Mus musculus: one gene and its partner. The protein of the gene in region 1 interacts with the protein of each later gene in a pairwise test. Links are inferred from orthologs where the notes say so. Each region holds a gene or a part of one and is shown in the gene's direction. Other genes may lie near its edges.

Region 1 (4,102 bases):
TGCTTATTTAACCTATCAATTTGATTTTTGGAGAAAAAATAGAATATTAGATGATGATCATACATATAAAAACTAGATTTCAGAACCACCTCACAAACATGCAGATGTGTAAACCAGGTAAGTTTCTGTTTTGTTCTTTTGAGAAAGGGTCTCGTTATGTAGCCTCATCTGTCCTAGAGACTAGCTATGTGGGCCAGGCTAACCTAGAGCTCACAAGAGACCCACATGCCACTGCCTCTAAGTGCTGGCATTAAGGATGTGCACTACTTTTACTATGCCTGGCCCAGGTGAGTTTCTAAGGCCAGTGGCTTTTCACCCATGTAGAAGTGGATTGAGATCTGGCTAGCTAGAAGTGGTGGCTTTTGCATCTTGTCTATGCATGGAATCCAATTAGCCCTGCAGCCTTGATGTCCTTCCTGAAGGGACATTACCCTTGCCAGTCCCATCCAGACTAAGATCCTCAGAGGTATTACACAGGATGACGTTAGTTAGCTCTGCCCTTCTAACTGGCTGCTCTTCTCTGCCTAAAAGGCTGGATCGGTGGTCCCTCTAAGCCATTACTTTACAGAATGGCCTGCCTTAATATATAAGGCCAGGAGTCTTATATATTAATACATTAATAATATTAACTACATTATTATGTATATATTAATATAATATAATTACATCAATATTAATAACATTAAATGTATACTAATATTTTATATATATCAGATCGTCACATCTTCCCTTATTCTCCAAGGCAGCCTTCTTTTTTTTGTTGTTGTTTTTTCAAGACAGGGTTTCTCTGTGTAGCCTTGGCTGTCCTGGAACTCACTTTGTAGACCAGGCTGGCCTCGAACTCAGAAATCCACCTGCCTCTGCCTCCGGAGTTCTGGCGTATGCCACCAAGCCCGGCCAAGGCAGCCTTCTTATTGGACCGCTCTCACCAGGATTCGAACTTGTCTTGTGTGTGTCTACTGGCTGCTTTTTTGAGTCTTGAGACGCGCCTCGGTCTGGGTGGCTGCTCTTCTCTCTAAGCCCTGCATGCGATGAGGTCTATCGACTTAGTGAAAACAGCTGAGGAGAAACAGTTGCGGAGAAGGAGTCCTGGGCAAGCAGGGAAGAGACTGCTGGCGGCCAGGAGGAGAGGCTGAAAGCGGAGGGGGAGTTAGGGGCGTGGCCTGGGCGGAGCTCCGCGCGGGAGTCCTGGGCGGGGCGGGGATAGGAACGGGACGGAGGCGGGGCTTCGGGACTGCTGCAGAGCCCGCCTGACCACGCCGCCCCGGCAGCGCCCAGAGTGCCCGCGGCGATCCGGCTTCCCGGCCTTCGCCCCGCGCCGCCGATAGGGGGCGTCCGCGTTCTCGGCGCCGCGACTCTGCTGAGAAGGCGCCGCCCGCGCCGGGCAGCTGGAGCCGCAACTCCGGGCTCCGGCTCACTCGTCCCCTCTGCCGCCGCCGCCGCCGCCGCCGCCACCGCCGCCGCTGCCGCCGCGGGGCGCGGGCTCGCTCGTCCCCGCGCTCGCGCTCTCGGGCCGCCGGCGTCTCCCGGCCGGGTCGCCTCCGCGCTCGTGCAGTGAGTGGGGCGCGAGCGGGGCCTGCGGGCCGGGGCTGCGGGAAGTCGGGCTGAGGAGAACGGCGGGTGGCGGCCGCGCGTCCCCGGGCTGGCACGAGCCCGCGGCGGGGCCTGGGCGGGGAAATCGGGGACGCGCGGCCGCCTCGGGCTTTGGGCTCCGGCTCGGGTTCGGGGCTCGGTGCGCGTGGCCGGCCGGGCTTGGCTTGCGGGAGACCGCGGAGTAGGGACCAGCGGGCTCTGCGGGGCAAAGGGTTGGTGTTTTGGGGAGTGGTGTTTATTAGCCGCCACTGCCCTAGTTTAAAGCTCTGCTTTTTGGGTTTTGTGCACAAATTGCAGCTTTTTACCGGAATTTTGGGATGTCACGGCGATTTAGTGCTGGGTGTTAAGAGGTGATCCTTGGCGAGGTCGTGGGGAGCCCCTGCAGCACCTGCTGGGCGATGGCAGCGGAGGCTGTGTCTGGGGGTGGGACGGGGAAACGAAACGTGACTGAGATCCTGTTTGGATATTCTGCTGAAGTTGTCATGTTTCTGTTCTGTACACCAGTACATACAGCAAGTTGATAAACCTGGTTTCAGGATTTCGTGATGCAGACAAATAGACCGATGTGACCTGGTTTAGCTAAGAATGTCTGGGATAGCCCAAACAACCTGCTCCAATGTACCCCCCTTGGCAGGCTCATCTTTTTCGCTGTTGCAGATATTCTAGTATGGGAATAATGGTGGGGTATTACAGGCCCAAAGCCAGAAGTGTTTCAAAAGAGTAAAGATCTAAGTAGGTAGGGTGGGAGAATCACCCTTTGGATGAAAACCAGGAGCCCACACGGATTCTTAGTTTTTTGTAATACCGTAGGTAGAAAGATGGCCATAGAATTTGAAAATTTTTAAAGTGTATTTTAGCTGAAGCAATAGCGTGGAAAGCAGTCTTATGGTCACTCCTATGATCCATCGTCGCATCCTGGATTTTAATAGTTGGGGTCTATTTTAAACGGAACACGTATGTGTGTCTTCTGCTTTATCTTGAGACAACCCTGAGTCATGCTTTCTAGAAGTCCCGAGAGCTCACGTGTCTGTTTGTCTCTGCGAACGCTGGACATCATTTTACCTTTAGTTTTTCTCACGGCAACTGCGGTGGGATCTCCGGGAAAGGAGGGCCAGGGACGGGACAGAGTGGGAACACAGATTGGTCCTAACCTGCATGTTCGCCCACCGTGTCTGACTTACCTATTTAAATTTTGGTGATGCTGCGAGTAGTAAAGGGCGGTCTACTCAGGTTCTCACAGCCCTCTGCTGGCATGCTGCACGTGAATCCAGAGCGCCACTCCTCACTGCCCTGTCGGCCAGTTTTACCTCCATTGTGTTTAAACGGTGTGGTTACTTTTGGGAAGGTCATAATACCCATTTTGGTGGAAACTGAGGGAAAGTAGAATTTTATGATTTGTGACTCTGACAGCACTTAAGCTGGAGAGTATATATTCTTCTGGTTTGATACTGTCAGAAGATTCATAATTTCTTGTAGGACTTTCTCCCTTTTTGCCTACATTTCCTTTCTTCTAGCCCACGAGGTTGAGAGAGGGGTTTAGTTAGTGGTAATTTAGCTTTATAATCCCATTATCCTTGTGCGCTCGCTACTTGTGCTGGCCTGTATGTGGATGTTAACTCCGAAGACGCCAGGAGATGCCACTGAACCAATTACTATAAAAAGTATTTCACTTTCAAACTCCCACGTTCCCAAGAACAGAGAAACTCAGTACAAAGGCAGCTTGGAAGGTAAGTATAGGTGGAGAGAGAAAATTTACCGGTCTTCATTTTGGGATGGCAGACACAAAGGTTTCAGTAGAAAAGCACTTGGAAGGGCTACCCAGAAAGCGTGGGAAGGCAGTGACTACAGTTGTATCATTACATTTTCTAATCCGAGGTTAGCATTACGGCATATAGACTGTTACAGGGGAGGAGGACTTTTGCTCTGGAGCGTCTTACTCAATAGCAGAAGTAAGTCTAGAATGTTTGTGCTGTCTTATCATAACCCCCACTGTAGCTTTGCTGTGGTAAGGAGGGTTCTCACAGGTTAAGTTGTTAACTTCCTGGAGTGTGCATTCTTCAGATTTGCTAGGGTCAGTAAATTAGTAACTTCTTTTCAGGCTTCTAGAAATTCTTCAGAATATGTTTTTCTTAACTACCTGCTAACATACTATCAGATTTTACACATTAGTTACAATGACCTTTGAAGTTCAAGCAAGCATGATAGTCTTTAGGACCATAATTTTTTTTTTTTTTTGAATCAAAGGTCAGGTATTTTCAGGTAAACCGATTTTACAAGTCAGAAAGCCTTTCTTTGAACTTTATAGTCGTTGGTTGTAGCCATGACTCTAAGAAAGATCTTTCGTAAGGGAAAGTCACTTAAAGGAATCTTATGAGGAAACATTTCACCTTGGCCTGCTTGATGCCCCCTTGGAGGCCTTCTGTCGCCTGGCTTGTTCTCATTAAGCCCTCCACTGGAGGAGGTTGTGCCGGATGGGAGAGAAGATGAAAGGGAAATGAATTGTTAGCGT
Region 2 (3,518 bases), on another chromosome or scaffold:
TCACTCCCTTTCTTTCTTCCTTCCCTTTCTTTATTCTTGTTATTGTTGAGACAGGGTATCACTATTTAGCTCTGGCTGGTAGACCTTTTTTAAAGGACCCATTTTAGGCTTTGTGTGCTGTTCATTAGTGCCTTTGTCATGTCTCTTGTCGGGATTTCATATTTTTAAAAGGTTATTTTAAAAACTCTTACTTATGGGTGTGCACAAAAAAACATGTTTGGTCTTGGGCTGCAAACATTACTTTAAAATCAGGGTCTATATTTTCCAAGTTAAGAAATAAAGGAAGGCTTATAGTTATCTTGATAGTGAGGGTGCCCTGGCAGCTGTTCTCAGTCTTTGTAAGTAGGTTCATGACCTTCCAAAGCAAAGGTCTTGGCACTTTCCAAATGTATATTAGGTGGTATTGGCTAACCATAAACTGAATTAGTCTGGGACAGGAGTAGAGGCCCTATTATCTAAGCCTGAGTCACTGACACTCTTCAGATGGCGTGGTTAGCAAATTCAACTCCCATGTGACTCACCTTTTATTCCTAAAGGGGCACCAGATCTTAGCTGGTGTAAGCTAGCTAGGGTAGATAGATAGCAGCTATCATTAGAAGAGTCTGCCCAAGGAGTGGGGCTGAAGTCTGCTTGCTCTGACTTCCTCAATAGCCAAGAGAGATTAGACACAGGTGGGTGTGGATGACCAGACTGTTCCCTGCTGTCCTTTGAAGTGCCAGTCACATAGAGCGGGTTTGGGGCTTGGTTCTTGGGTTTATTCCAGGGTGACATTGAGTTTGGAATCCTGCTTGACTAGCAAGATTCTTGACTAGAAGAATTCTGCTTCCTGTTTCGGCCTTCAAGAATAGTGCAAGGTCAAACTTTCATAGCAAGGCAGTGATTAGTGGCAAAAGCACTGAACTTGAAAACCCTGGTTTTAGTTTGCCTCTGCCATTATCTATAGAGCCTTAAGCAAGTTATTGGGTCATTTGTGCAGTTTTGTTATTTGTGAAAGAATCTTGATCTACTGCCTATGAAAGAAGGAAGTATAAAGATAGACTTCCTTGAGTGACTGAAACAAAATCTGGCAGTGGCAATTATTTTTATAGTTGCTTGTCTTAAACAAGAAAAGTAAAATATGCTCAGCATACAGCCTAAAACACCATTCTCTCATGGACAGTTTGGTGTTTCTTGGGGTTTTCTTGAAAACATGTATCCTGTTTTCTCATTAAAAGGAAATATTTTTTCATATAGTGTTTAGCAATCTGCTTTTAAAACAAAACAACTTACTTTATTTTGTTTAAATGACATTTTAAGTTTAAAGGTGCCTTTACTATCAACCCCCTACTTCCCTTGGTTTTTCAAGACCAGGGCTGTCCTGGAGCTTTCTCTGTAGACCAGGCTGGCCTTGAACTCATAGAGATTTGCCCTGCCTTTGTCTCCCAACTACTGAGATTAAAGCCATGTGCCACTACTGCCAAGTCTATTTATTTTTTAATGAAATGATTTGTTCTACTGAGTTTTTTATTGTTTAATGATCAGTGTTGATACCTGTTAGGTAGGCTAATTTTCAATGTTTGGTGACTGTGGGAGTGGTTTTATGGAACAAGCAAGTCTTATTTGGAGAGTCCTACACAATAGAGTCCCCTATCCCAGTGGGAGCCCGGGGGGGGGGGGGGGGGGTTGGGTTGGTGGTGAGTGAGGTGAGCTCATAGATAATAGGGTTCTTCCTTTGTACTTATAAATAACAGTGTGACAGGCTCACCCTCTAGTGGGTATTGATGGTACTGAAACAGGAAGTGTTGCTTCTCATCTGACATCTTTCAGTTTCTTCTTCTGATCCAAGAGCTGGGACATTCCAATATATGTTGGTGTATAGGTGCCATTTGGCAGACATGGAAATGTAGAAGTTGAAGGATGGAACTCTTCTTGGAACATACCTGTCTGACTGAATAGCACGTGAGGCCCTGGGATGAACTGTGACAGCTAGTGTTCAAGTTTATGCCTCAGTAGTACTAAAGCTAACTCCTCAACAATATAGCCAGAAGTCCTCTGTTTTTCTTGATCAGTGCCTCTTCAATTTCCAAAATAGGGCGAGCTTAATAGTTTTGTTCCACTAGCTCTTTCCTGTGTGCGGATTCCTTGTGTGTTCTCTTTGTGATGAACGTTCCACATACTTGTCTTTCTCAATCAGCAAACTTCACAGGTTACTTTTTAAAATTTATTTATTTATTTATTTATTCATTCATTCATTCATTCATTCATTCATTGGTTTTTTGAGACAGGGTTTCTCTGTGTAGCCCTGGCTATCCTGGAACTCACTTTTTAGCCCAGGCTGGCCTCGAACTCAGAAATCCGCCTGCCTCTGCCTCCCAAGTGCTGGGATTAAAGGCGTGCGCCACCACACCCGGCCACAGGTTACTTTTAAGTTATTAAAATTGGACCCAGGGAGAGAGTTCAGTTGGTGAAATGCTTTTTGCACAACATGAGGACCAGGATTTGAGCTCCAGTACCTACATAACAAGCTAAGCTCTGTGGTGGCAGAGATAAGAGGATCCTTGGGTCCTGCAGGACAGTCAGACTAGTTTATCAGCAAGCTTCAGATTTGGGAAGAAACTCTGTCTCAAAAAAAAATAATAATAATAATGTCGAGGGACATTGAGAGTACTTGCACTTGCTCACAAAATTATTAAAAATTGACCATACAGAGGAGACACATGATCTCTGTAGAGCTGTGATCCTACCTTGAAGATGATTGGTAATAGGAATGTCTATGAAGCCAGATTTAACTGCTTGGTTCTTTGTTCTTTCAAAATTGCAGGAGCTATGAAGACATGATTGGTGAAGAGGTGCCGCCTGATCAGTACTATTGGGCTCCTTTAGCTCAGCATGAGCGGGGCAGTTTAGCAAGCTTGGATAGTTTGCGAAAGGGAATGCCCCCACCTTCAAACTGGAGACAGCCTGAGCTGCCAGAGGTGATTGCCATGTTAGGCTTCCGCTTGGATGCTGTTAAGTCCAATGCAGCTGCATACCTGCAGCACTTATGCTACCGCAATGACAAGGTGAAGACTGACGTGCGGAAGCTCAAGGGTATCCCGATATTGGTAGGATTGTTAGACCATCCCAAAAAGGAAGTGCACCTCGGAGCCTGTGGAGCTCTCAAGAATATCTCTTTTGGACGTGACCAAGATAACAAGATCGCCATAAAAAACTGTGATGGTGTTCCTGCTCTGGTCCGATTGCTCCGAAAGGCTCGTGATATGGACCTGACTGAAGTGATTACTGGTGAGTGCCAGGTTAGAGGTCACTGTTAATCTATAGACAGGTATGGATCTAGAACTTTCTAGACTCTTAACTTTTAATTAATTTATTGAATAATTAATTCTTTTTGAGTCAGGGTCTCACTGTGTAGCTCTGGCTGGCCTAGAACTCACTATGTTGAGCAGGTTGGACTTGAACTTGAAGTAATCTACCTGCTTCGGCCTCCCAAATTCTGTGATAAAAAGCATACACTACCATGCCTGGCCAATCCATTATCT

The links. The genes of interacting proteins can lie anywhere in the genome.
Region 2: the proteins of Kctd6 (region 1) and Ctnnd1 interact in binary tests that used the Homo sapiens proteins (3 or more experiments, as listed by UniProt). The two-hybrid records come from large-scale screens. The link is inferred for Mus musculus from reciprocal best matches to the Homo sapiens genes KCTD6 and CTNND1.

What each region holds. Positions count from the first base shown.
Region 1 is NC_000080.6:8,212,789-8,216,890, forward strand, and holds the start of Kctd6 (BTB/POZ domain-containing protein KCTD6), read left to right. Parts: upstream 1-1,292; 5' UTR 1,293-1,554; intron 1,555-1,713; exon of another isoform or gene 1,714-3,320; intron 3,321-3,326; exon of another isoform or gene 3,327-4,102. UniProt on the Homo sapiens protein: Probable substrate-specific adapter of a BCR (BTB-CUL3-RBX1) E3 ubiquitin-protein ligase complex mediating the ubiquitination and subsequent proteasomal degradation of target proteins.
Region 2 is NC_000068.7:84,616,226-84,619,743, reverse strand, and holds part of Ctnnd1 (catenin delta-1), read left to right. Parts: intron 1-2,800; coding exon 2,801-3,264; intron 3,265-3,518. UniProt on the Homo sapiens protein: Key regulator of cell-cell adhesion that associates with and regulates the cell adhesion properties of both C-, E- and N-cadherins, being critical for their surface stability.